Elephas maximus indicus: one gene and its partners. The protein of the gene in region 2 purifies or fractionates together with the protein of the main gene of each other region. This does not show direct contact. Links are inferred from orthologs where the notes say so. Each region holds a gene or a part of one and is shown on either strand. Other genes may lie near its edges. The genes, in order: CTTNBP2NL, STK25, SLMAP and CTTNBP2.

Region 1 (7,202 bases), on a different chromosome or scaffold from region 2:
TAGACATATACACAAAGTTTCTCTGCATACAATGCTTTTCTTCATCTAACATGACTAAACCAAACCCACTGCCTTGGAGTCAATAGAGTAGAACTACCCCGTAGGGTTTCCAGGGCTGTAAATCTTTATGGAAGCAGTCTGCCACATCTATCTCCTGTGGAGCATCTGGTGGGTTCAAACCACCCACCTTCTGGTTTGCAGTCGAGTGCTTTAACCGCTGTGCTGCGAGGGCTCCTCATGACCAAACCAAACCGAAAAAACCCGTTGCCGTTGAATCGATTCCAACTCATAGCGACCCTATAGGACACAGTAGAACTGCCCCATAGGGTTTCATGACCAAACAGGTGTCGAAAAATAAGAGATTACTTAAGTCTATCCAACTAAACCAAAAACCAAACTCATTGCCATTGAGTCGATTCCGACTCATAGTGACCCTATAGGTCAGAGTAGAACTGCCCCACAGGTTTTCTAAGGAGTAGCTGGTGGACTCAGTCTGCCAAACTTTTGGTCAGCAGCTGAGCTCTTAACCACTGTGCCACCAGGGTGTACCCAACGGGTCTTGATTATCGTGCCAAATAATCGAAGAGCATTGTTTACTTTTTCTTCTCTGCCCGTGAAGGCCCTGGCAATTACCACTACTTTGGATTCTCTAGTCTCTTAGTTTATTTTCTGTTCTCTGCTCATGTAACAAGATATATCTTTCTAGAGTTTCCTGTTCTGCTTTAGTTTTTTCTACTGCTATTGCTGTGTTAGCTGGGGAGACCCCACACATAGCTTCTCTTTTATGCTTTCTTATTGTAGATCTGGGAATAATCACTACACAGATCTGTGAGCACCAAGTGTGGCTCTGAAAACTTCGAAACTTAACTATTAAAAATAATTACCTTCAGGAAGTCTAATCAGGAAGGTAAAAGACAACAGCCACTACAATCACCCTCTATGATTTCAACTCTTTGCATGTTATTGAGATTAGCTTTGGCTCTAGATAACAGAGGAGGCCTGGTGGTGCAGTGGTTAAGAGCTTGGCTGTTTGGCTGCGAATCAAAAGGTCAGCATTTGGAATCTACCAGTTGCTCCTGCTCCTTGGAAACCCTGTGGGGCAGTTCTACTCTGTCCTGTGGGGTCGCTATGAATTGGAATCAACTCGATGGCAATGGGTTTGGTTTTTACAGGTAACAGTAGTGAGAGGGACTTCTGATTGAAAGCAAAAAAGAAAACTGCTTAATATATGGTTAATTTTAATATATGAAAGCACTATCCATCGGTAAGGAGCCCCGGTGGCACAGTGGTTAAATGCTCAGCTGCTAACAGAAAGGTCAGAGGTCTAAACCCACCAGCTGTTCAAGGGGAGAAAGATGTGGCAGTCTGCTCCCGTAGAGATTTCTGCCTAGGAAACCGTACGGGGCAGTTCTCCTCTGTCCTACAAGGTTGCTGTCAGTTGGAGTCCATTTGACGGCAATTGGTAACAGGCACCCATAGGTGATTACTGGGGATTCAGGGGCATTAACACTGGACCAAAAGCCATCAATACTTAGCCCCTGCTGAAATGAAGAACAGCTTAACAAAGTCTTTATGAACATACTACAGAGGCATGTGAATAACTGGAGCTTACCTCGCCTTTATTTACCCTCATCTCTGCGACTTAAAAATTGCTCTTATTTTTTGTCCCCTATAAATTTTTTTTTATATATATATATATTTTTTAATATTTTTGTTAGATGCTATGGGTCATGTAAAACCAGTCAACAATGTCATATATGTATCATTTTCCCTGGGGGAGGGGGGGAACCCACTATAAAAGATGGAGTAGTTGAGAGTAACCAAAGGCCACCTGACCAGATTACTTATAAACCTAAATGTCTGAACCTGAATTTTCTTCAAACACTTCCTGCCTTTTGTTTCAACAGAACCATACCTTCCAGGTGAAGTGCAGTCTCCCTGAGCAACAACCAGCCCACCATAGACTAGGAGATACTCATGCCTATGACCAAATATTTTCATTTGCTTATCTATACTGCTTCATCTTAAATCTTGTGCTATTCACTGGTTGCCAAACAATACACACTGCATTCCTACCCACACAAAGGCAATTCTGCAGATAGCCAACACACCCACCTCACTGTGAAATACAAGAGGATGGTTTTTCATCAAGTTCTCAGGGAAGAAATAGGGTGGAAGGCAAAAGTGAACAACTCAACGCTAGAAAACCTTTTGAAGCTGGGAATAGAAAATAGAGAGAAGGTACAAAGACTGAGATGGGGGGAGGGGGTTGTAATTTCTCCTTCCTCCAGAGCTTAAAAAAAGTCCATCTTGACTCCCGAAGCAGGGGAGCTCTCCACTCGCCACAGAACAGCAAATCCGACGGGCAGCTGGAAGAAGGCTGGGGATCCGAGAATGGAGGATGGGAAGAGCTGAAGGGGGGGGAGGGCCGCTTCGTACGTGGTGCTGGCTGTCCAGGTCGGGTCTTTGATTTTTGCTTTGCCCCATCCCTCTTTTCTAAAATGTACTGACTTTATCTTACAAACGATACTAGCTCTGGTCCCACCCTAGCGAGCAGGGACAGGTGTAGGGAGGGATGTCTGGCTGCCCGGGGTACAAAATGGGAGTGGGGGCGGCAGCGTAGGGAATGGGAACCGGCGAGCCCTCCTCCAAGGTTGAAGCGCTGAGCGAGAAGGGCTTTTAAATGAGAGGTAGCAGGAGGGAAGCCCTTTCTGAGGAGGGAGGAACTGACGGGGGACAATAAGGAACCGTGAGGACCCTCGAAGGATGAGCAGCCACCTCCTCAGGGAATACCGGGAGGTGGAGGAGACGGCCCCGCCCCCTCCGGGATGTACACGAGAGGCAGTGGGACAGTGCGGGAGGATACCGGGGTCCCACCCTTGCTTTTCTCTCGGAAACCCGGTTTCCCAGCAGTCACCAAGTCCCAGCATTAGGGGATCCTACCTTTTCCCGGCGCTCCGGGCTCCGCTCCCGGCCGCCTCCGCCACCCGCTCCCTATCCACAGCCCCCGAGGCCCCACCCCCTCAACCGCCAGGAAGGGACATTGGCATGCATTCTGGCCAATCACCACCTCGCCTCTTCAGCGCCGCCACCAATCCACACTGGCTGGAGGAGGAGCTTCTCCAATGTCATTTAGGCTCCTCCTGGAGCCCCAAGATCCCTTTTGTTTGGGGAGAACCGGGCTGGGATTGAGCTCACGTCAGTTCCGGTAGGAAGCACCCTCCTCCGGCCCGCACGAAGGTGGGTCTGGGTCCTGCCGCTTTCCAGCTTCTTTACCGTTGCTGGACAGGCCCCTGACAAGGGCTTCATGCTTCGCCCTAGTGGTAGGGGAAGCTGAGGAATGGCGGGCTTCTGGTGTCCGGAGTGTGATTTCATCCACATTGTTTAGAAAAGTAAGCTTTGGTATCTGCTTTAGAAATGGTTATTGAAAACTCAGTAACGTGGCTTCCCTGCTCCCGCTTTTTTCCTTGGACGCGCCTGAAGGTGTGCTGGAAGCAAGGGTACAAAGATGAAATATCAGGAGACCATCCTTCTCTCTTCACATTATATGTAGAAGAGGATGCTAGCTATGGAAATTCTGCAGTGGGTCATAGGATTGTACCAGAGGGGCCATAAACCCAGCCGACCTGCCTGCCTTCCAGGCCTTGTCTCTGTATACTATCCACCAGGTTGGGGGCAAGGGCGAAAGGGGAAGGAATGGGGGAGGCTGCCTTCAAGGCAGAAGTCTAATAATTGCAAATTTGTGTGTCAAGGTTTCCACACCACGCTTGCCAGATGAGAAGACAATTTCATGTTGGTCGCCCCATTATACTATGGGATGACGGTGTTTGCAGTGAAGTTGGAACAATGGACAGCCTAGAGTATACATGTCTGGCCCTCCATGTGGAAACAAGAGGAACACATCTTGCTGATGATAGCAAGCCTTAAAAAACCCAGGTGCCCTTGAGACGACTCTTACTCATGGTGACCTCTTGTAGAACTGTGCCCCATAGGGTTTTCAGTGGCTGATTTTTTGGAGGTAGATTACCAGGCCTTTCTTCTGAGATGCCTCTGGGTGGATGTGAACCTCCAACCTTGGTTAGCAACCGAGTATTAATTGCACCACCCAGGACTTCAGCAGCAAGCCCTAGGTAGGACCAGATAGCCCAGAGAGGGGAGAGAATGATGGTAGACCTAGCTGTATCCTTCCTGGAGGTCAAAGTTTCTAGAACACTTTTCCATAGACTGCACTCCAGCTCATAGATTGATTTAGCTGGTTAAAATAATAACCATCGCATTATTTTTCATATAACAATACAATTAGTAGTTGTCATTAAACAAGACAATATTAGGGCCTAGTCCTCACCTAAGCAGACACAGTTCTCAAGGCAGATGCAGCCATGTCCTCATGTAGTTTACAGTCTGGTGGAGGGATTTGATCCACCTGAGCAATCATAGTGAAGTTTGAAGAAAATAAGCCCGTATTTATCATGTTACCACTGTGCCAGGTACTTTCACATAATATTTAATCACTATGATAAATCTGGAAACCCTGGTGGCACAGTGGTTAAGAGTTCAGCTGCTAACCAAAAGGTCGGCATTTTGAATCTACCAGGTGCTCCTTGGAAACCCTATGGGGCAGTTCTACTCTGTCCTATAGGGTCACTATGAGTTGGAATTGACTCAATGGCAATTGGATTTGGGTATATGATAAATCTATTCTACCGTCTAAGAGAGACATCAAGTGTGTCCATTTTACAGATGAGAAAATAGAGATTTAGAAGAATCAAGCAAGGTCATAGAGCTAGTAAATGGTAAAGGACTTGCAACCAAGGACGTATGACTTCAGACCTATGCCATTTTCTGCTCACTACGCACTGGCTCTCACAAAACTGAACAGGCCAGAGAATGGGCATGGATGACTATAAAGTCAGCATCAGAGCCAGAAAAACAATTCCATGTCTACCCCTGTTGATCGTAGCTTTGAGAGCATCATCTCTATAGGCGAAGGACAGAAAAACTATGTACTAAGGTTCACAACAGGAGCCCAAGTGCTTTTCCAATAATAACAAAGAAGATACAGAATTTCAGAAAGACATTTTGGCTGGGTTTAGGAAACTGACAGTCTGAAAAACAAGATGAAGGGCCAGGCACATAGTAAATGCTCAGTAAATACTGACTGGACTTGAAACAAAATGTCTGAAGTGGTTACAAAACAAGAGCGTTAGGTGCTGGAATAGGCCCACAAATTTATAAAATCCCATTTCTTTCTCCTCCTCCTCCCCTTTGCTCTGCCTATGGGTGTGTAAGGAAGTGCCTCATTGCCTCACAACGAGGCAGATGTGGGAGAATAGGCTACTGGCTTCTGAGTCATTCTGAGTTGTCCTAGTGAGTCAGTCCCTTCCTCCCTCCCTTTGTAGCTGTTAACTCCCTACCACCCTTTCTACTCCCAGCCAGAGAGGGTGCCCTGTAGCCTACTTCCTTTATAGTAATCGGCAGCTCTCCCGACTCCCAGAGCTCCCTCTTGCGCATACCTGAGGGGCATGGGAGGGCCCAGCAGAATGAGATCATCAGCACCTGACAGGATTCAGAATCCTGAGGGTGTTCAGATTGTTTTCTTTTGAAATTCATCACCCCTGGAGGTAGTGAATAGGTGATGCTTCTGAACCTTACATGACCTTCAGTTGGCAGCACTGGGAGACGGTTGTGAGATTTTGTGATTCTTCAGTATATAAAACTTGCACAAAAAAATTTAGAGTCTGGTACAAAGGCACGTACAGTGGTAGAGACTCAGTTCATAATAATATCTTAAAATTTGTACAACAAAATATAACTTTTTCATATCTAATGTTTTATCAAGTTGTCAGCAAATGTTTATTAAATGACTGTGTGTCAGGCAACAACCTAGTAAAGAAGTGTGGAAAGATTATAGATTGTGTCTGTTTTTCTTCAAATAGGTAAACTTCCTAGGTAGGTGTTCCACAAATGTTTATTGCTGGTTTGGGGAGGCAATGATGTAAAAGAGGGCAAGACTGGAATTTATAGTAAATAAAAATCCTGAGTTCTAGTTCTCGGCAAAGTGGTCTCCCCACTTACCTCTATTTAACTTCATTGGTAAATAACACAAAAATAATGGACTAATTCCCAAAAATCATTCAGTGCTATGATTATATGGTAGTTATACATGCTATTTATCAAGCTTTTACTATATGCCAGGCCCTGTGTAAATTGCTTTACTTAATACACCTGATTTAACCCTTAAAAGAATCCTGTACCATAGACATTAATATTCCCATTTTATGGATGAGGAAATTGAGGCACAAAGAGGTCCATGATCTCAGATAATAAACGACTGATGCAGAATATTTACTCAGATATGAATCCAAGGTTTGTCTTCTTAGTTGCTATGGTCTGTCATCTCTCTGGAGACTCTGGGTGGCACAAATGGTTATGTTCTTGGCTATTAACTGAAAGGTTGGTGATTCGAACCCAGCCAGAGGTACCTTGGAAGAAAGGCCTGACGATCTGCTTCTGAAAGCTTGCAGCTATGAAAATGCTGTGGGGCAGTTCTACTGTGCAACACAGGGGGTCACTATGAGTGGAAACTGACTTGATGGCAACTGATTCTGGTGATCATCTCTCCATTATGCCTAGAGGGGTTAAGAAATGGAGAATGCAACAAATATTTTAAAAATTCATTGACATAATACTTGGAGTGGAGTAGCAATCTTCTTGGGATTATATGTATGATTTTGATTTTAAAACTTGAGAAGGCAAGAGAAGAGGGATAGTGAGTAGCAGTGAAGGCTTAGTAAGGAAGAGGAGAGTTTTGGGCACTTACCTGAACCTCAATGTCCTCATTTTAAAAATGGAATAATAGTCTCTGCCTATACCAGATGGCTGTGAATATCCAAGTGAGATTATACAAAATAATTTAGTAAACTCTATGGAGAGATTGGAAACCCTGGTGGCATAGTGGTTAAGTGCTACAGCTGCTTACCAAAATGTCTGCAGTTTGAATCCACCAGGTGCTCCTTGGAAACTCAATGGGGCAGTTGTACTCTGTCCTATAGGGTCGCTATGAATGGGAATGGACTCGTCGGCAATGGGTTATGGACAGATTGGAGCCGTGGTGGTGCAGAGGTTAAGAACTATGGCTGCTAACCAAAAGGTCAGTAGTTCAAATTAACCAGCCATTCCTTGGAAACCTGATGGGGCAGTTC
Region 2 (7,763 bases):
CCGGCCCCTCCACTGGTCCCCCCCACTGGCATCGGGGCTTTCTCAGCACCTGGAAGTGAGAATATCATGCTCACTCAGGGCCCTCAGGGGCATCCCACCAAACCACCCACAGGTCTGCCCACGCCACGCAGCCCCCACCCCGCGAAGCCCCGGGGTGACTCAGCAAATCTGGCTGGTGCCCTGAGCTTGCACCCTCTGTCACTCGGAGGACATCGTCCACCTCCTTCTATCACGGCACGAAGATGCCCCGAGGAGGCTGGGTTGTCCCACTTAGCATCTTTAATCAGGCCATTTGTCAGACGTGGAGCGTCAAAGACAAATCCTGACTCTGCTGGCTTGACTCAGCGTTAGCTACACACCCCAGCTGGGCCACAATGGTCCAGGATCCCCTGCCCGGCAACTGTGCCCCACCCTGGCATCGCGGGTTTCAGGCAGGTCCCACAGAGTCCGGAGCTGAGCTGGGACTCCAGCTTCTGTGCCACGTGGACATTCTCCCAGTTTCTCCCGCCGGTCCCTGGCCCAGCACACATCGGGGGCTGCACTTTTAAGAAGCACAGCCGGAAAAACTTGCCCCGAGTCGAGAAGAACAAGACCAATCAGCGAGGATGAAGTCAACACGACAGCCACCACGGGCTCCCTCTGTTCCACTGTCATCCTTGCCCAAGCCCTCCAGTCCCCGCACGCTCCTCAGCACCAGCGGCTGGACGCAGGGCACTCAGTGGGGTGGGCCGTTGGATGGCCACTTCCCAGACAGCAATGCTAGACTCTCAAGGTGGCTCGAGGTGAGAGAAGAACAATCAAAAGAGAAAAACGCCGAGCCTGGTTAGCGGCTCTGCAGAGCGGCCTTCTCTTCACTACTCTCCCTCAAGGAACACATGTGTACACACATCCGCACACAAACACACATGCACGCAGGCGTGTCCTGTCTTCCCTATGCACCAATGCTTACACAAGGACCACCTGGTCAAGCCCCGCTCCTCTCAGGACCTATCAGGGTTCTCCCTACACAAACTGCTGTGTACTAGCCCTGCCTCCCGCCACGCCATAACATGGCCCGATGACCACAATGTGGCCCGATGACCACAATGTGGCCAGATAACCACAACGTGCCCCGATGACCACAACATGCCCCAATGACCACAACATGGCCAGATGACCACAATGTGCCCCAATGACCACAGCGTGGCCAGATGACCACAACATGGCCAGATGACTGCAGGTCAGGCCCAGGCTCCCTATGGATGCTGACCTCTGACTTCACTTGATGCTGAGGTCCAGTTTCCCAAAGGATCCCCACCCAGTGCCCAGCCCCGCCCAGCCCTGAGGGCGCACCCCGTCCCCAGATAAAGCGTCTCCTCCCACACTGCTCTCTAAACCGCAGAGAGCCACTGGCTCTATTTTAAGACACTCAGAGCTTATGTCACACAAAGGCGTGTACATGGAATAGTCTCCCCAGGTCTGAGCCACCCACAGACCCTGCCACAGGGTTCACCATGAACCTCTCCTCCACACCCAGACCCATGTCCCTCTGGCAAGCCCTCAGGGACACAAGCAAAATGTACCTGGGTCCTCACCCCTCCCAGACTCAGCAGTCAGTGCTCTCTGGGGGTGCACACTGTGCACACACACGCTCATATGTGCATTCATTGGGGTGCACACCCGCTCATGTACATACTCGTACTCATCGGGGGTGCACACCCCTGCATGCACACATATATCTGCATGTCTGGGGTGCACATCCACACATGCACACACTTACACACACGTCCATCTGGGATGCACAGCCATGCACACATGCTCAAACTCACTCGTATTGGGGCACACACCTGCAAATGCACTCATATGCACGCTCATCTGGGGTGCACACCCATGCATGCACACTCATACACTGGTCTGGGGGTGCACACACTCATGCACGCTTGTCTGGGGTGCATACTCAACACACACACACACAACCTTGTCTGGAGGCACACGCAGGCACACACCTACACATGCTTGTCTGGGGTGTACACCCATGCACACGTGCTCAGACTCTCATCTGGGGGCACACACCCGCACACACACACACACTCACATGTACACTTATCTAGGATGCACATCCCCACATGCACACTCACACACTCATCTGGGCACACACAGGCGTGCACACACACACATGCTCGTCTGGGGTGCACACCCACACTCACAAACTCACTTGCCTGGGGGCACACACCCACACATGCACATGCACTCATGCACTCTCGTCTGGGGTGCACACCCACTCACACGCACTCCCATCTGGGGCGCACACCCACACACATGCACTTTTGCCTGGGTACACACATGCTCACACACTTTCATCTGGGTACACATCCACGCACACACATACTCCTGTCTAGGGCGCACACGTGCGTACACACTCGCACACACTCTCGTCTGGGCTGCACACACGCATGCACTCTCGTCTGGGGCGCACACCTGCTCACGCGCACTCCCGTCTGGGGCGCACACCTGCTCACGCGCACTCCCGTCTGGGGCGCACACCTGCTCACGTGCACTCCCCTTCTGGGCTGCACAGACGCGCGCACGCACCACCCAGGCGGCCGCCCCATACCTGGTTGGCAAATCCCCTGAGGTGAGCCATGTCTGCCCGCGGCCGTCACACCATCCGTCCGCAGCCCAACGAGGCGCCGGGATCCGCCTCAGCTCCGGGCCGGCCGCCGCTTCAGTCCACTGCGGGGACAGCAAGCCGCTCGCGCTGTCCGGCCTCCGCCCCCGGCGACCTTCCTCCCGGCCGCCCCCAGCCCCGGGCCCCTGACCCCCAACCGCCCCGGCGCCGCCCCGCCCGGCAGCGGCCCACCTCCGGGGGGCTCCATCCCGGCCTCCCCCGGCCCGCTCCGTTGTGCCCGCGGAGGCCCCACCCGCAGCCCCTGATCTCCGGGAAGCCGCCCCGAGCCCGCGAAGCAGAGGCAGTGGCGGCGCCGGAGAAAGCCCGGCGGAGACAGCGGCAGTGGCGGCGGCGTCGTGGCCCGGCCCGAGGCTCTCTGGGAAACAGAGTCCCGCCACTCGGCCCGCGCCCCGTCGCCGTGCAAGCTAAACTACAAGTCCCGGCAGGCCGCGGGGTGGAAAGGCAGACGGGGAGAGCAGGCCCGCCGCACGGCTCGCTGGGGCTTGGAGTCCTTCGCCGTGAGCCGCAGTGGACTACAAGTCCCGGCAGGTCGCGGGGCGGGTGGGCGGTGTCGTGACGGCGGGGGCGTGGCCTGCGACGGGCATCAGCGCGTCTGGGCGTCGGCGCGTCGGTGCGTCGGCGCGTCGGGCGTCGCGTTTGGCCCGGAGCGCGCCCCCCGGCCTTGTAAGGCGCCCGGCCGCGCCCGTTCCGCTCCCCAGCCGGAGCTGGACCGGATCCCGGGGGCGGCCGCGGCGGCCTCGCCCTTCCCGCCCAGGCTCCCCACCTCCGCTGCCCGGCCGGCCGCACCCTGGACCCCGCGTCCGCACCCTGGACCCCCCCTCCCGCACCCTGGACCCCCCCCTCCCGCACCCTGGACCCCCCCTCCCGCACCCTGGACCCCCCCTCCCGCACCCTGGACCCCCCCTCCCGCACCCTGGACCCCCCTCCCGCACCCTGGACCCCCCCGCGTCCGCACCCTGGACCCCCCCGCGTCCGCACCCTGGACCCCCCCGCGTCCGCACCCTGGACCCCCCCGCGTCCGCACCCTGGACCCCCCCGCGTCCGCACCCTGGACCCCCCCGCGTCCGCACCCTGGACCCCCCCGCGTCCGCACCCTGGACCCCCCCGCGTCCGCACCCTGGACCCCCCCGCGTCCGCACCCTGGACCCCCCCGCGTCCGCACCCTGGACCCCCCCGCGTCCGCACCCTGGACCCCCCCGCGTCCGCACCCTGGACCCCGCGTCCGCACCCTGGACCCCCCTCCCGCACCCTGGACCCCGCGTCCGCACCCTGGACACCCCTCCCGCACCCTGGACACTCCTCCCGCACCCTGGACCCCACGTCCGCACCCTGGACCCCGCGTCCGCACCCTGGACCCCGCGTCCGCACCCTGGACCCCGCGTCCGCACCCTGGACCCCGCGTCCGCACCCTGGACCCCGCGTCCGCACCCTGGACCCCCCCTCCCGCACCCTGGACCCCCCCTCCCGCACCCTGGACCCCCCCTCCCGCACCCTGGACCCCCCCTCCCGCACCCTGGACCCCCCCTCCCGCACCCTGGACCCCCCCTCCCGCACCCTGGACCCCCCCTCCCGCACCCTGGACCCCCCCTCCCGCACCCTGGACCCCCCCTCCCGCACCCTGGACCCCCCCTCCCGCACCCTGGACCCCCCCTCCGCACCCTGGACACCCCTCCCGCACCCTGGACCCCACGTCCGCACCCTGGACCCCCCTCCCGCACCCTGGACCCCCTTCCCGCACCCTGGACCCCCCTCCCGCACCCTGGACCCCCCCCCGCACCCTGGACCCCCCTCCTGCATCCTGGACCCCGCGTCCGCACCCTGGACCCCCCCTCCTGCACCCTGGACCCCTCCCGCACCCTGGACCCCCCTCCTGTACCAGGACTGTCTCCCCTTCCCAACAGGACCCCACTTGTCTGCACCTGGACACTTTAAAACGGTGAATTTTATGATGTATGAATTAGATCTCGATAAAGCTGATAGCAAACAACCGTCTGACTTTTCCTTTAAAAAAGGTAAAACCGATCTCTGTGTCTGGCCAAGTGGAATAACAGAGGTCAGATTTCCCTCCTGCTGGAAACAACCGAAAGATATATGGATATAGATAGGTGATTGATTGATTGATAGATTGGTGATAGATAGGTAATTGATAAATGGCAAGATACATGAAACAATGCTTTTCAAGACAATGACACTAGATAACAAAGCTCAGTGGCTCCTCGTGACAAAACAAGAGGTGTGTTTACTGCTTGCAGAGAGTTACCAAACTGCAGTTGAAAGAGGGGGAACCCAAGGGGAGCCTGGGGTTGAGGATCAGAGTTGAGAGTCCAGGAGGTGGTGGTGGTTAGACTTAGCAGGACAGAGAGACAGGAGAGAACTCTACAGATGTGCAGGAAGCCCCTTGAGTATCCAGCAGTAGTGATCTGCGCCCGACTGTGAGGAAACAACCCCAAACTGGAAAAGAACCGTTTGAAGGTATTAGAGGTGCCCCATGCTCAAGTCAAAGGAGTAGTGTCTGTCCCCACCAGCCTGTGGTGCAGTGAATTACTTAATGTGGCCCTTCTAGCTATAGTCTAGAAACCCTGGTGGCGTAGGGGTTAAGAGGTATGGCTGCTAACCAAAAGGTCGGCAGTTCGAATCCACTAGGTGCACCTTGGAAACCCTTTGGGGCAGTTCTACTTTGTCCTATAGGGTTGCTGTGAGTCAGAATTGACTCAATGTTACTGGGGTTTTAGCCATAGTCTTTGTAACTCGCACCAAATGACTGGGTGAGGACTATGCAAATGAGGTGCTTGTGGCCCACCAAGGGGATTGGATAGCTTGCTAGTAATGTAAATAAGGTGTACTGCACCCTTGGGGGGGGGAGGGACCATGCAAATATGGTGTCTGGAGTCCTAATGAGGGGATTGGTCAGTTTTGCCATCCCCTAGGCTTAAAGAGGAGACAGGGGAGAGAGAGAGAGAGAGAAGCTATAGCACTGAAGACAGAGGCAGCAGAACCAGGACAGAGAGGGACAGCGCTAACACTGGAGATGGTGAGAGACGGTGAGAAGCGGCAGCAGAGAAACGGCGGCAGCAGAACCAGGAGGAAGCATGGGGAGCTTACTGGCCCACAGAGCGAGAAAACTGAGCACCTTCGGGCACAGGGCTTACCAGTGGGGCAGGGTACCTCTAGGCACTTATGGCAGAGCTAAAAAAGCTTTATAACAGTTGCCCCAGAGGCCGAGGGGCCAGAGAGAGGTGTGCCTGCAGCCTGGCAGAGGAGAGGCTGTCCTGATGGAAGAACTGTATCCTGAGTGAACCTGAATTGTAATGCGTTACTTCCCTAATAAACCCCATAACTGTGAGTATGGTCTGTGAGTTCTATATGGCCATTGCTACAACTGAACCCAGCAGGGAAGTAGGGAGTACCAAGTAGGGAGGACAGTTCGTGTCAGAATTAGTAAAAAGCCTGGCAAGAGGAGGTGCGTCTGACTTCTACCTCAAAGCAATCAGCCTTGGTTTGTTGATCTTGATTCTCCTTCCCCCTTGTGAAATTTAGAGGTGGTTAGATGCCTGCACTACACCATTTTTACAGACAGACTGGACAACCTCATAATTCACAGGGCAGTGGGTAGAATACTCAGGGAAATCTTGCCTCAGTGGCATTAGCATTGCCAGGGTTAGCAAATGATAACAGGATGCCGAGTTATTTGAATGCCAGACAAACAACAAAGAACACTTTAGTATAACTACGTCCCAGGTGTTAAAAGGGATATACCTGTACTAAAACATTACAAATTGTTATTATCTGAAATTTAAATTTGACTGGATGGTCTTTATTTTACCTAGAATCCTGTTAGGAGTAATTAGCCCTCAACTAAACACTGCTGTGGTCCTGCCTCACAAATCCTAGAGCAGGACCTGAAAGAATCTCACTGCTTCCAAGTACCTCAACTGCACCCACAGCAAAGCTCAGGAATGTTTATAAAGAAAAAAAAATAAGAATACAAAAATATCCAACACCTAGCAAGGCAAATGTCCAGGCATGCAAAGAAGCCGGGTCATGTGGTCCACATTGAGAACTAAAGTCAACCAATCAAAAACACCCCAGAGCTAACACAGGTGTTAGAATTAACAGTTGTTGTTAGGTACCATCAAGTCAGTTCCTGCCCATAGTGACCCCACGCACAACAGAACAAAACACTGCCCAGTCCTGTGCCATCGTCACAATCTCTGTTATGTTTGAGCCCATTGTTGCAGCCACTGTGTCAGTCCACCTCGCTGAGGGTCTTCCTCTCTCTCACTGACCCTCTACTTTACCAGACATGATGTCCTTCTCCAGGGACTGGTCCCTCCTAATAACATGTCCAAAATATGTGAGACAAAGTCTCCCCATTCTGGCTTCTAAGGAGCTTTCTGGCTGTACTTCTTCCAAGATGGATTTGTTCACTCATTAACAGACATGGATATTAAAAGTTACTATAACTTATACATTCAAAAGTTAAGTAGAGACATGAAAAAAAAAAAAAAGACCCAAATCTGATTTCTAGAGATGAAACTGCAATGCGTGTGAGATGAAGGGTACACAAGATGGTATTCACAGCACATGAGACACTGCAGAAGAAAAGATTAGTGAATGTGAACACACAGCAATGGAAATACACAAAACAAAGAAAAAAGAATTTTTTAAAATGGGAAGAGCATCAGTGAGCTGTGGATGCTGGAAAGCATGTTCACACAGTAGCAGGACAGAAACCGTGGGTGGTCACACACATCCAGGACATAAACCTCCTTTGTGAGAGGCAGCAGACTGGGCCTTCCAGCAGCCACCCCTGGTCTGAGACGAAGGTAGGCTCCAGGCTGCAGCCACATGCCACCCAACCCCTTCATTTAGCCCAGAGGGGGTAGGTGGCCTGCTCCAGGTCCCCACGCAGAGCAGATTCTGAGTCTCAGTTCCCAGACTCTCTCCCCTTCCCTACCCCGCACACGTCACCCCGTCACCCCCTGGGCTTTGGAGCAGGCAGGTACCAGTCCTGTGACTTTGAGCAAATCACTTAATCTAACTGAATTAAAATTCTTTGCTTTTAAATGGGAACAATAAATCCTGCCTCCCCGCC
Region 3 (6,830 bases), on a different chromosome or scaffold from region 2:
ACCTAGATTTTCATCTGCTTCTTTACATTTCACAAATTTTCTACAATGAACATATATCACTTGGATAATCAGGAAGTTTCAAGGGTTTATTACTTTTTCCAGCTTCTAATGAGTCTCCCATGATGACCAATATGGAATTCAACAGTCACCCACAAATGAAAGTCAACAAAAAAGCGTATTACTCTAATTTTCCACTTCCCAACCTTCTACTTTCCATTGTCCAAAAGTGGCAATTTGGACAAAGTTCTCAACTTCATTTGTTTGTAATTTAAAAATTATTTCTACATATGCCATCACCCACACACACAGATAATTTCTCATTACCTTCCTAAGATTGAAGAGCACCATAGCAAACTGCAAAGAGCTGCCTAAATGATTTCCCCTCCCTCCAAGTATTGGGCTTAAGGGCCAGGTATAGGGTGCTAAGAAATTGATTACCTTAAACTCAAAACAACAGTATGCTTATCACCAGACAGGAAAACTAATGCTTAAAAAAAAAAAAAATTAATGCTTAGAGACTTTAAAAAAAAAAAAAAGTTGTCTGCAGTGATGCTTATAGAAGGAGATATTTTCCTGCTATATAAACGCATTTGCTGGGAATACATATTAGACCCAGAGACTTCTGTTAACATAATCTTTTGTTATGAGACAACTGTAGCAGAAATCCTCAAACTGGGTATTTCACACAGAGAAAATAATAAGTGATATTTGGTCAAACTGTCTTCTTTAGAACTGTGTACCTCACAGCATCTGGCACGTACTAGATGGTTGACAAAAACCTACTCTCTGATGAAACCTAAATTTTAAATAGTTAATTCCTAAAAGAATTTGATCACATGGCAAGAATTGACTGCTCATTTTTCATTAGACTGGGTGGTACAATAACCAATAATAATATGTACACCTAGAGTAGCAGCCTTGGATCCTGAGTATAGTTTAGCTAATAAAGAAAAGTGAAAATAATAGAAATAAACCAAGTGTATCCTTTAAAGATAAGTTCTTCTAAAAACAAATTTTGTTCAAAATTTTAACATGCCATCTCAATTCACACGCTAAGCATTCACTATTCATATATTCCTAATCATCTCAAACTAAGCTATTGTGAGGGCTTTAGTACACTGTTCAGGTAATCACTATTTCTCAAATCGGTAAAAGAAAAAAATTTGAGTCTCCTTTGGGTGCTGGATGAAAGTAAAGAAAAAAAGAAATTACCTTTGCAGAGAATGCACTGTGAGGAAACCTGTTATCTGATTAGGCTGGACCCAAATGGTTGCCCAGGGACACAAAAGACAAGTAAAAGCTAGTTAAGGCACTAGTAGTTAACTGATCTTTGAATTACATTGCTGGAAAAATGAATTCTGTGAATAGTCATTTTAAAGGATTATGGGTAATCTACAAAGTCTCTAAGGCACCCAAATTTTAGCTTTCAGGGAGATAAAAAGGGTCCCTTACACAGGTAAATGAGCATCTGGTGTTACACAGAAAAATTAACATACTTTTCAGTTCTTACCCTACACACAGAGTAGGGTTCAGGTATTACGCAAGCACATAGCACTTTGACAATCTTTCTCTTTTTTTTTTAATTATTTATATAATAACTCCACAATTCAATAACTGCAAAAGTGTGTTTTGTCTCTCCCTTTGAGGCTCGGGGTTTTGTTTTGTTTTTCATTTCAAAACACTACTCTTGGAAAGATTTAAATTCTTCTTTTAAGAAAAACTTAATCATTTAACTCAAGAAAGGAGGAAAAATCAGGAGATGAAACCCGAGATAGTTCTATTAATCTTATGTAAATTTAAGTTGGAACTGAGTCAGTAGCTCATCTAAAACATCAAATTTAAGTACAAGATTGAGCTCTTTAATATGCTCTCTACACGCAGAGTTTTAAAAACTGAAAGGGTCTTACATAATCTTTTCTTTGTATTCTTAAAAACACCCAAATGTATAATAAATTAAGGAGTTAACATCGAATGGTCACACTTAAAATGAAGAGCAATTAATTTTTTATCACAACTAAATAATGCAATAACTGATAGAACTGTATGTAATTTCAAAAAATAAAACAGTTAATTTCCTGACACTGAATTTTAAATTTTACCTCTGAGTGTATGCATGAAGTATTCTTAAGGAAAGGGGTTCCAGGGAACACCAAAAGCGATCTGCGAAAGCAATGTGCATATAGGATCGCCCAACTTGTAAACAAAACTCTGAAAATGTAAAGTTACAGGTCTTTATACTTAATTAAATTAGCTTTGATTACTGTGAATTACTCTGTCAGGGGCAAATACATATCTAGTCTTTCCAAACAGTAAGTCTGTTTACACAGGCAATTGCCCTTGCTAGAAAGGCCCTGACTAGAACTCAGCTGAAAGCCATGTGTTCAGTACAGGTCACCACTGAGACACCTGAGCTCCCGAGAAATACTGGCCACAGATTCCCGCATTGCTCTGGGAACTGCTGCTTGCTTAATCAAGCACTGAACTGCAAATTCACCTTTCTAAAAAGCCCGAAAGCGAGATGCCAAGTTTCACTATCTAGTTTTCCGAAACGAATTAGGGTTTGGGATTTCACTGGGAATGACCATGTTATCAAGATGCCATTGGTCTCCCGAGGCATTTATTTACAATACCTACTCTGTTTTCCATTCAACCACCTCCATTAAATTTCCACTAGAATCAGGCACACCAAAAAGTTGATTCCGTGGTCTTGCTGCAAGTCCTCTGGGTGCAAACCCTGGGAATCCTACACACAGAATGCCTCTCACAGAGAGCAAAGGGGAGCAAGAAGTGAAGACTGTTAGCCAACGTGGTGACATTACCTTGCCCGTCTTGTGGTCAAACCAGACGAGTGCGTGGTTCCTTGACAGCACTTTGCAGTCAAAGGTGGCGTTATTCTGCGCTGGTCGACAGCGGGCCACCGAGCGGCCGATTTTGATGGGCTCGTCCAGGTAGACATGACGCTCCTGAAACGGGTGCGAGTTTGGACGGCAAGTGAAGATGGCCAAGGCTGACGGCATCGAGGACAGACTGGGTGTCTCTCCTACCAGGGACAAAGAGGAGCTCCTCCGGATCCGGACTGCCCTTCACAAGCCTCTAGCCCTATCCCCCAGAAAATTTTTAAATTAAAGCAAACTGTGCATTGTCTAAGCATAACCAGGGCACATCAACAACTCTTCACTTGGGTGGAGAGATAAGCCAGCGCAAGCGCCATCACCTCCTTTAAAACCCAACCTGGCCACAAAAAGTCCCCAACTGGCAGCTTTCAATCCATCTTCTTCCCTGGGAAGAAACGGCTCAAACATCGGACAGCTTCGGCCAAGAAAACTCCTGGAAGACAGTTTGGGGACTGGAGGTATCCAAGCAGATGAGTCACACACCAATTCTTGTGTTTTGTTTGGGATCGCGGCCGCTTTTCCCCCTCGGAGGCGGAAACGTTGCAGCACTGCAGCATGAAGGAAGTGTCGGCTCGGTGCGGCCAGGAAGGTCCCTTCGCGCCGAAGAAAGGTGTCGCCGAGCACCTCTGGGCAGCCACTGCCCGTTCTCGGGGACCTCGCGGGTGGAGCAGTGAGGGGCGACGAGAGGGTCTAGGCGGCCAGGGGGACGGTCCGCATTGCCCTGCTCCGCGGAGGCCGCCCCGGGAGGGGGCGTGGGGTCCCCGGCCTGGCACCAGCCGAGGGGGCGGCGGAGGGGGACCTGGGCGCGGGAACCGGCGGGGGCGCGGGCAGTGGCCGGGCCGGGGTTCCCGGGCACCTGGCGGGCGTCCCCGCGACCAGGGCGGGGATCCGGCTCCGCAGGCGGTGCGGACCGAGCGAGGCGCGACCCCGCGACCCCGGGAGACGAGGGGGTCCCGGCCGGCGGGAAGTTGGTCCCCGGACGTCGGGACTCCTGGTCGCTGCTCAGCACACGGGCCGCCTGCCCTCAGGGTCGCCCCCGCGAGGGTCGCATCGCAGGGACGACAGGCGCAGCTCCCAGCGGACGAGGAGGTGGGGGAGGGAGGCTGGCCCTGGGGTTGGGGGAGAGGCCTGGAGGCCCCAGGCTGGGTCCGCCGCAACCTCCAGCACTCGCGGCCCGCGGGGCACGCTCAGGCTGTGCCCGACGAGGCAGGAAACTTTCCGACCTGGTGGAGGAAATACCAAAACAAACGGCCGTCAGGCGCCGGTGCCCGCCTGCCTCAGCCCTCGCCCCCCTCAGCCCGCCTCACGCCAGTCTCCGCGGCTGGCCACAACCCCGGCCGGCCTTTCCATGGACGGGCCACGGAGGTTCGGAGCCTGGACGCCACGACAGGTCCTGCCTCTCCCTTTCCCGCTGCCGCCGCCGCCGCCGCCTCAGCTTACCTTGCCAGCGCCGGCCGCCATAGTGACTCTGACTGAAACCTACCCGGTGCACCACCGCGGGAGCGCGCACCCTTCAAAGGCCCTCCTACCCCCTCTCCCGCGCCGTAGTCCGGGGACGTCACGTGGACACCGCCGTGGTAGCCATGTTGGTCGAGGGCAAAGAAGAGGGCAAGCTGTTTTTTACGCGCCTCTGGACGCCATCTTAGTTAAGGGCTGCAAGCTTCAAACCGTGGTACAACCTGGACGACCATTTTGGTTAAGGGCAAAGAGGAATTTGAGGGGGTGAAGATTTTTTAAACAAAACGTGCCAACGTTTTCTTTTACCTTCTAAGTACGAAGGAACGAACTTTTACTAAATTTTACTTACTATAGGTCTGTTGAAAATACCAAGGATGGAAGAGAACAGACTTATCCAAAGGAGATGTTCATTAGCAGCCATTTTAGCTATGGGCGATACGGTCCTCTCCTCCCCCACCAGTCGCCCTATGTGTGAGCAGCCAAACTCCCACAAGCGTCAGAATTTGTGCACCTAACATCAGAGGGGCTGTCCTTCTTCTCCTGAATTCTTAGCAGCGTTCCTCGCCTTCGGAAAAACTTCTAGTCCCTGCACTCAGTTCGAATGCTCGTTTTTTTGTTTTGTTCTAGCACTGGGCCTATTATGTCCCCTTGTACTCCGTTGCATTCTACCCCCAAAGAGTAAGACTTCAGAAAGTTTAAAATCACCTTGCTTCCTGAGAAAGGTCGAACGATTTCTAATATGAAAAGAAAGGATATTGCTCTGCTCACAATATTAAGGTAAACGAGGAGCCATTGGTCTAAAGAGGGAATTACGGCAAAATCTAAAGTAAAATTTTAAGAAAAGATGCAGGGAAGGAGTCTTAGGTCTTTTAGAATCAATGGCGGCTTCATTCTTCAGATGCCCGTGATACACGCTCCACCACCGCATGATCCTGGGCAAGTTTCTAAAGCCTCCGAGCCTCATTTTCTTATCTGTAACGTGAAAACAATAATACTTAACTGTTCCAAGAATTCTAGGTGATAAAATATATTGCTTAATAAAGAGTAACTATTATTTTTTCCAATTCTTGTAGACAGAGTTTTGGTCTTGTCCTAGATTCTGTGCTGGACCTTGCGTACACACAGGTGCAACCCCGCCCTTGGAGATTACACGCGGTATTGTGGGACAGGAGTAGGGCCAGTGATGATAAACAGGTACAGATAAAATTCACTTTGATGTAATCAGGGCTAAAATAGAGGCAAGCACTGGATGCGACAGGGATTAGGGAAGGGCTTCTGGAGGAGGTAACTGAACTGAATATAGAAACATAGGAAAACCGCAATAAATACGGTATTTGTTGGATGCGTTCATAACATGTCCAGGAAAATAGAACAGCAAGAAAAGGAACAAGCCTGTTTGAAACAGTGCACCAGTGCGCCTGGCGTACAGTAGTGACTCAATTAATATTTGCACAAATGAAAATAACATACTGTTACTCATTATTAGAGGATAAAGGAGGAGTGCCACAGAGCAATTCTGGAGAGAAAAATAGACATTAGGTTACAAAGACCTTATATACTTCTCTAAGAATCTTCATCAATTAAACAAATGTGTATTGAACTACTAGTGTATTCTGGGACTTTATTTTGTAGATAGTAAGGATACATTGTAAAGCTTTAACTTAGGAGGATGAAAAGTTTTCATTTCTTACAACTTTTAGGCTTATATGGAATAAAATAAGATAGACCTCTCTACAAATCCCTAATGAGTTCTGTGCATGAATATATAAATCAGTTATGCATTCTTTCATTCATTCATTCTATAAATTCTATAAATGCCTACTGGGAGACAGATAGGGTGGCTATGAGTTGGAATCGACTCAATGGCAACAGGCTTGGGGGACAGATACTTTGAAAGCCCCTGGAAATCAGCATAACTTAGATGATGGCACAATAACGTCCTTGCTATAATGGAAAGCATGAGGAGTAATGAGAGCATGGAGCAATAGTTGTTTAAACGGAGACTTGAAAAACAAGTAGGAGTAGTCCAGGTAGTCTGGTAGTAGTGGGATAAAGAAATTTTAGGCAAGAAAACATCAAAAAAGTCCCAGAGACTTGAGAGAACAGAATCTAAAGGCAATTACAAGTACTGTATTACTGAAGCCTAAGGGGCAAGGTAAGGTCAGGGAGGGGTAGGGACAGGCAGAAGTGTGGTTTCAGTTGCTGAAAGACTTACAAGCAATGCAGCAGACTTCAGAATGTTTCCATCTTCTTTCAAGAAGGCCAGAGTCGAGTAATCCAAGTCAAACTTTCAGAATCAGACATGGCATCACCATTCACCACCATTGTTATCTATGGTAATTAAGTCTCAGTTTCCTCATCTGAAAAAAAGCACAAAATACCTCCCAGAATCTTGTTAGGATTAAATAAGATAATGCAAGAAAAAATATCCAGCATGGTGCCTGTAAAAAAGTAGATACTCACTGAATGTTAGTTTAA
Region 4 (7,344 bases), on a different chromosome or scaffold from region 2:
TACTGCATTTACATTTAATACTGTCACCTGGAAAACAAAAATTTCAAAGTGCCAGCTGTTATTTTAACATCGCTGTTGCATATTTTTAACAAAAATCACTGTCCAAGTTTTTCCTTGTCACAATCACCGTGACAAAATTTATTCCTACTTTTTGCATATTAACTGCCCCAGAAAACCCAGAATGGCAAGAATGTTGGTTGGCTTCCCAAACACAGCTCTAAAAAGACCTCCATTTTCCTTTCACTCCAAAATTCCCTGATGACAATAAAAAGCAGGAAGATTTCTGTTTTCCATACTGCCTTATCCATTAGGGCTTATTTTCAGAGTAGAAATAGCAATATGGCCTATAAAAGTCATCACATTTGGCTAAGGCACTGAAAATAACCCAGGTCTCCCAGCATGGTTCATAGCAAAGACTATTTATATGAGCCTACTGAATAATGTAGCTTTACACTTGGGATGCCTTCAGGATTTAAACAGCTAAGAACGAGGACCACAAACTAAATTTAAAACATGTCACTAAAAATCATATTAAACTGAAAACTATGAAACTATAAATTAAACTTGTTTCTAAGCAACAATCTAAATAGTCAAAACTTAGTGAAAACACTCACTTTCAAAAATAGCCTACTGCTTTGGAGGTTCCATTGGCTCGTTATTGCCAAATGTATATATAAAAATGAATATACAAGCAGATTTGAAATGAATCAAATCGCTAAAATACCAAAAAAAAGAATTGTTCACTAAAAATACCCAAAAATTGTTTTAAGCCATCAGTTGCCAAAACCCCAAGATGCATAAAAATGCCTTTGATTTTTAATCATTAGGTAAGGAGCAGTTATAATAACAAATACCATGCCTCTACCCAGCTTTTCTTTAATGTAAAAATCAGCCTATAGGTCAAAGTGGCTGATAGGACAGGATCCTACCTTACGAAGTCAAAGCTTTTTGGAAAAAATAAAATGGTCAGTTTACAGCCTAAGAAGTCACTGTCAAAATTTTACTAAACAGCCAAAAGTTTAAAAAAGCTACTATATTAAGAATCCTTATTGCATCTTGGGACCCTAAAGGATTCTGTGGAAATAACAAGAGGTCGGCTTTCCTATTTTCCATGGCTGTTCCCATTATCACAGGTGAATGATCAAATCCCCGAAGTTCAGTAGTGAGAATCAGACTTCTGAAAATTTTACACAGCAGAGACGGAACCCTGACCTTGTTAACACGAAATCTGCCCCACGACCAAGACTCTCTACAGTCTAACCAAATAAAACTACATCATCAGCTACAGACCATAAACCAGATGTTTGTGTTTGGTTTAATTGTAAGGAGGTGATTAAAACACTGAGGGCAGTAGAAAAAAGGCCCATTCTAAACAAATTAAACATACAAATGTAACCTTCCTGGGGAACAAGAAACACACACAAGACCTCTTTCTTTCTCCTCCCAGTCAGTGCCTCTCGTCATCATCTCCTGGGGAGGAAGACACCCAATCATTTAAACTTCCCAGAGAGGCTTGCCTTAACAGCTAGCTTCCTTATTGTACCTCGCGGGGGGCGGGGGGATTCACAGTATCACAAGTGGGCAGGTTTCACTTGAAATCTTAAGTTCTCATTTTCCACGCAAGAAATGAAAAAACAAAATAAATTTTCCTAAAAGCTGCAAATCAAAACTTGCCAGTTTCACAAGTGCAAATCAACAGCCCTCCTCCTCCGTTTTTCTCCCCCCTCCACCCCCTCTTTCTCTATTCCTTCCCAAGCTCAGCTCCTCTCACCCCCAAGTACCTTCCTCCCCATCTCTCCCTCTCCAAAAGCCCTACCTCCAAACCCAGGGAGGAGGAGGAAGTTAAAGCAGCCCTGGCTGTTTACGCCTGGCCCTGCCCTCTGCTGCTCGCGCACCGACTCCGATCGGGTAGTGGCAAGGCCGGAGGGGGCGTCCACCCTCGGCTCACTCTATCCCACCGCGGTCTCCAGCGGGAGTGGGCCAAGGGTGGGAGGCGCTCCCGGGACCGCCTTTCTTTGCAGATCCTCGCAGCTCCAGCGAAGCCGCTTCTCAAACCCTGAGCACATTTTCCACCCTGGACGGGGAACCAACCCTCCCCCAGGTAGGGGCTGGAACCCACCAGCGAGTTTCTGTGCACAGGAATATTTAGGGATTGAAAGTGGGGACCAGGGATGGATGGTAGCGCATTTGGCGTCTAGAACCCAGCGAAGGAGAACAATGTCTATGATACTCGGTGATGACCCTCCACCTCGCCCGGGCATCGCCTCGGAAGAACGCGATGACCCCCCGCCTCCCCAGTGAGGGGGCTGCTAAGACCAAAGTCGCCGGCGCTTCGCGGCGACAGCGCCCACAGCTGGGCACCGGTCCCTCCCCAGGGGCCCCCCAAAGGCGCACAGACACACAATAGGCATCCCCACACCTGCTCGGCGGCGACCCGCACCCCCCCTCGCTGTTTCCTAGGTCTGCTGAGACGTGCCAGGCACCCCGAGACGCACGCTCACAGCCACGCGTGCAGCTAGAGGCGAACAATGGGGGGTCAAGTTCGCCAGCAAACACCCCCAGGCCAAACCCGACCACCGCGGCACCGGCGTCGGGGTCGCGAGGAGGGCGGGGCGCACGCATGGAGCGCCAAGAACCCGGAGGCCGGTGCTATTTCCCTGGAGACTCGGAACGGGCAGGAGGCGTCCCCAGCTTGGGCGGCCTCCGGCCGTGGGGCAGCTTGAGGAGGGGGCGCCCCCAGGGGGCCCGGACTGCGGAGCGCCCAGGGGACTTGGAGCTGCGCCTGGGCCCGCGTCTACACTCGCAGCGCGCCCGCACCGGGAACTCGGTTACCGCTGCCTCCGCCGTAGCCTCCGCCGTAGCCTCCGCCGCGTCCTCCGAGGCGCGGGAGAAGTCGGGTTCGCAGCTCGCGCCGTCCGTCGCCATCTTCCTGCGCTAGCGGATCCGAATGCGAGCTCGAAGCGGCGGCGCCCGGCTCAGCCCTCTCCGCGCGGGCGGCACTTAACCCGCTGCTGGCCGGCGGCGCGGCGTTCGGGCCCGGCCGCGCTCCGCCTCCCTCCCGCCGCCCCCGCCGCCTTAACCCGCTGCGCGCCGGGGCCCGCGCGCCCGGGCGCCCGCCCCCGGGGGGCCGCGCCGCCCGCCGCCTCGCCCAGCCCCTGGGCCATCCGGTGCGTCGAGGTCCGAGAAGAGGGCACAAGCCCGGGCCCGGGGCTGGTCCTTCCCGCAGATGGGGGAATCCGAAAGACACCGGGCGAGATGAAGGAGAGAAAGAGCTCAAGATGTGATACGACCGGCCAAGCCCCACGAAGCCGACCCTGGAGAGACCGGATGAAATGTCGGGCTTCCTAAATCTTAATTTTCTGTAAGATCAAGGAAACCCTTCGCTCCATGCCCATCTATCCCACCGCTAGGAAGGACATAAGATACTCTTTTCTTTTTTCTTAAATTCCAGGTTTTTTGGTTTTTCAACACTGCTGCCAGGGTGCTTTTACCCCTTCCTTCTACGAAAACCATTAACTAAATTCACAAATCAAAATGAATAATGTGTCCGCTTTTATTACATTGTGCCCCAGTCCCTCAGTTCTCATCTTTCTGTAAAATCTCCTTTTCAGGGAGGGTGGCGCGGGGCCCATTGCTGTTCTTTGACTCCATGACTGAAGTCTTTTCTAAAGGACTAACCAAGAAGTGTTAAATGTCATCTCTTTTAAAAGGAAGCTCTCTACTTTCAGAGAGAATACGCAAGTAAGAATACGCAAGTACACGTACTAAAAAAATCCTTTTAAAAATTGACTTCATGGGAATTATAGGTCTCAGGTTTTTCATGAGATGAGTGACTTAGGCTCAAACTCTATTTTCCCTTCCTTTCATCTGATTCAGTTCCTACCCTTTTCTGCCAGTTCCCAGGATGTGAAAATCTATCACCTTCTCAAGACCATATGGTACCAGCCCTTCTCAAATCACCAGATCCCTAAAACTGTCTTGAAAGCACAAAATCAAGTCGCAGCATTCAAACTGTGTCTCAAGGACGTAAAATGAAGCGAAAACCAAATCCTAAACTTGAAATTCAGGAAGACGAATGACATGGAATGTTCAATTCAAGGGCTACAGATAAAAGCTCATTTTTTTAAATGGCAGACTCCTAATGAAAGGTTTTGGCACTTTAATTGCTCCATTTTCAAAACTGGATCCAAATAAGACACAAATCAGGACAGAGAAAATCTTTCCTTTGAAGACCCTGAATGGGGTTGATTTAAATCATTAGATAAGCAACAATTATAATGACAAATACCATTCTTCTACCTAGCTTCCCTTTAATTTAAAAATCAGTCTATGGGTTAACTGTGGAAAGTTCTCTCCCAGAAGACAGCTACATCAAGAGAGAACTTTCACCTGGAATCCTGGGGTTAAGGGTCAGAGGCCTGGAAGTCACCTCTGAGTTATCCTGTAAGCAGAGGTGCTGGTTGATTTATTTTCTTTGACTTTACTCTCACAGCTACCCCCTTTCTTAGTTCTTTAGTGTCCATTCCCGTTCATTACACTGTTTTCTTTTATCAACTATTCTCTCTGAAATTACTCAATATTAGAATAATCAAGCTACTTACAAGATGAAAGCAAAGCATTTGACAATAAAAGTTGGACCCTGATCTCACAACATGGGTGAATCCGGAGGGCATTTATGCTGAGTGAAATAAGTCAATTACAAAAGGACAAATATTGTCTGAGACCATTACTCTAAAAAATCATAAGGTTTACACACAAAAAGAAACAATCTTTGATGGTTATGGGGGAGGGGAGGAGTGGGGGATGGAAAAACACCAAATAGACAATAGATAAGTAGTTAACTTTGGAGAAGGGTAAGACAGTACACAACACAGCTTGTATGAGGCAAGGTCATGGAAGCTCCATGGGCACATCCAAACTTCCTGAGGGACTGAATTGCTGGGCTGAGGGCTGTGGGGACCATGGTCTTGGGGAACATCTAGCTCAATTGGCATAACATAGTTTACAAAGGAAATGTTCTACGTTCTACTTTGGTGAGTAGCATCTGGAGTCTTAAAAGCATGCTCCTGTTGGAGCAAGGGAGAATGAAGAAAACCAAAGACACAAGGGAAAAGATTAGTCCGAAGAACTAATGGACGACAACTACCATAGCCTCCACCAGACTGAGTTTAGCACAAGCAGATGTTGCCCAGCTACCACCACCAACTGCTCTGACAGTGATCACAATAGTCTCTGATAGAACTGGAGAAAAACATAGAACTAAATTCTAACTCACACACACACAAAAAAGAACAGACTTACTGGTTTGACAGAGACTGGAGAAGCCCCTAAAGTATGGCCCCCTGAAACCCTTATAGCTCAGTTATGAAGTCACTCATGAGGCTCACCCTTCAGCCAAAGTTTAGATAGACAGGCACATAAAATGAGACTAAATGGGCACACCAACCCGGGAGCGAGGATGAGAAGGCAGGAGGAGACAGGAGACTTGATAATGGGGAACCCAAAGTTGAGAAGGGGAGAGTGTTGACATGTCACGGGGTTGGCAACCAATGTCACAAAACAATATGTGTATTAATTGTTTAATGAGAATCTGCTCTGTAAACCTTCATCTAAAGTACAATTCAAAAATTCTAAAAATACTCAAAAAAGGACAAAAGAATTGCTTTAAATAGACATCAAAATACATTATAAAGCTACAATAATTAAAACTAATATTTGCTTCAGATGAACTAAATAAATGGTCAAGAAATGAAACCAAGAATATTTGTAAATTGAAGATACGATAAATCTGGTGTTGAAAATCATTGCATATGATAAAAAGGAGAGGCAGCTGGCTTTACCCTTCACCTTTCCCATTCTTCCTGCCTAAAATGTGGATGTGATGCCTAAATGCGCAGTAACCAACTTGCAACCAGAGGCAACAGACATGGAGATTAAAAAAAGGCAATGTTAAAGATGGTGGAGCCAAACAGATATAGCCTGTGGCATCATGGAACAGCTAAAGGGACTCCAGAAGTCGCTTAGTTCTAGAATTCTTGTTATGTAAGAAAAATAAACCTATAAGTTAAAAAAAAAAAAAAGCTAGATGTTGATAGTAAAATTTAAAGTTGGAACAAAAGTATTCCTTGTTCTTTTCAAAATGCATTTTCACACATCACAAGGCAATAAATTTCCTTAATATTGGCATTAAATTAAGAAATTAACTGGCTCACCACTGGGGAATAAAATAACAAATTTCACTTAGGTTTAAGCACTAGGAATATGACATGATAATTTCTCTGTGAAGCAAATCCCGTTTATTTTATACATGCAGATCAATTTAAAAAAAAAAAAAATGTTGTGAATAAATAGCTTCTGCAGTGACCCAGTAGTTAAGAGCTTAGCTGCTAACCAAAAGATCTGCAGTTTGAATCCACCAGCTGCTCCTTGGAAACGCTTTGGGGCAGTTCTACTCTGTCCTATAGGGTCGCTATGAGTCTAACAACAGGTTTGGTTTTTTGTTTATTAGTCAAAATAAGGAGCTCTGGTGGTGCAATGGTTAAGTGCTTGGTGGCTAACAAAAAGGTCTTTGGTTCCAACCCACTAGCCAGCCGTTCTGCGCTCTGCAGGTGGAAAGCCCTGGCCATCTTCTACCTTAAAGATTACAGCCTAGAAAACTCTGTGGGGCAAATCCACTCGATGGCACCTAACAATGTAAGTCTAAATACAATCAAAATACAATCAAGTCATAATCAAGTAGATCCCTGAGTGAATTCTTTCCCCTCTCCCCCACCCCACCGCCTTTTGTGTGTGTGTGTGTGAAATGAAAAATAAACAGGTGAAAAAAAATCACAGAATAGCATATTTTCCTACTGCCAAAATCCAGGACCTGGGAAGGAGAATAAACAGTATTTGTTTCTACCTTAAAGCTGCCACTGTTGCCGGGTGTTGACTGAGCAGCTGGCCTCATTGCTCAGAAGCAGCGCATAAGGAGTTAACTCCCTCACAGAATAGCCCAACCTTGAAGCTGCTTCTCCCCTGGGACACTCCAAGTTTAAATTCCCTCCTGAGAATTAATCTCTGTTGAGATTGCAAATTAACTCTTTGTGAAAGACATTCTTTGCACAAAGACAGGCTCTATTAGAGTCGAACCAAACAGATCTGCAAGGGTACTGATTTGATGGCTCCAGGAATTAAATCTTTTGAAGCTTCGTTAAACAGCTAAATAAACAGAAAAAAAAAAAAAATCCCAGGGCTAGAGTGAAAATTTCTGAAAGGCAGGGTAAAAGAAGAGAGATGGAAATACAATCAGGAGGAAAAGAATTCCCTACAGGATCGCTATGAGTCGAAATTGACTGGACGGCA

Evidence for each region.
Region 1: the proteins of STK25 (region 2) and CTTNBP2NL purify together in Homo sapiens (affinity purification with mass spectrometry; 6 studies listed by BioGRID and IntAct, counting the BioPlex papers as one, with this or other methods). This does not show direct contact. The link is inferred for Elephas maximus indicus from reciprocal best matches to the Homo sapiens genes STK25 and CTTNBP2NL.
Region 3: the proteins of STK25 (region 2) and SLMAP purify together in Homo sapiens (affinity purification with mass spectrometry; 5 studies listed by BioGRID and IntAct, with this or other methods). This does not show direct contact. The link is inferred for Elephas maximus indicus from reciprocal best matches to the Homo sapiens genes STK25 and SLMAP.
Region 4: the proteins of STK25 (region 2) and CTTNBP2 purify together in Homo sapiens (affinity purification with mass spectrometry; 3 studies listed by BioGRID and IntAct, with this or other methods). This does not show direct contact. The link is inferred for Elephas maximus indicus from reciprocal best matches to the Homo sapiens genes STK25 and CTTNBP2.

The regions. Positions count from the first base shown.
Region 1 is NC_064821.1:168,369,978-168,377,179, forward strand, and holds the start of CTTNBP2NL (CTTNBP2 N-terminal-like protein), read right to left. Parts: upstream 3,011-7,202; 5' UTR 2,944-3,010; intron 1-2,943. UniProt on the Homo sapiens protein: Regulates lamellipodial actin dynamics in a CTTN-dependent manner. Associates with core striatin-interacting phosphatase and kinase (STRIPAK) complex to form CTTNBP2NL-STRIPAK complexes.
Region 2 is NC_064824.1:143,370,606-143,378,368, forward strand, and holds the start of STK25 (serine/threonine-protein kinase 25), read right to left. Parts: upstream 3,012-7,763; 5' UTR 2,901-3,011; exon of another isoform or gene 2,840-2,900; intron 2,713-2,839; 5' UTR 2,624-2,712; coding exon 2,594-2,623; intron 1-2,593. UniProt on the Homo sapiens protein: Oxidant stress-activated serine/threonine kinase that may play a role in the response to environmental stress.
Region 3 is NC_064838.1:62,342,953-62,349,782, reverse strand, and holds the start of SLMAP (sarcolemmal membrane-associated protein), read right to left. Parts: upstream 3,018-6,830; coding exon 2,820-3,017; intron 1-2,819. UniProt on the Homo sapiens protein: Associates with the striatin-interacting phosphatase and kinase (STRIPAK) core complex, forming the extended (SIKE1:SLMAP)STRIPAK complex.
Region 4 is NC_064826.1:31,757,497-31,764,840, reverse strand, and holds the start of CTTNBP2 (cortactin-binding protein 2), read right to left. Parts: upstream 3,014-7,344; 5' UTR 2,926-3,013; coding exon 2,818-2,925; intron 1-2,817. UniProt on the Homo sapiens protein: Regulates the dendritic spine distribution of CTTN/cortactin in hippocampal neurons, and thus controls dendritic spinogenesis and dendritic spine maintenance.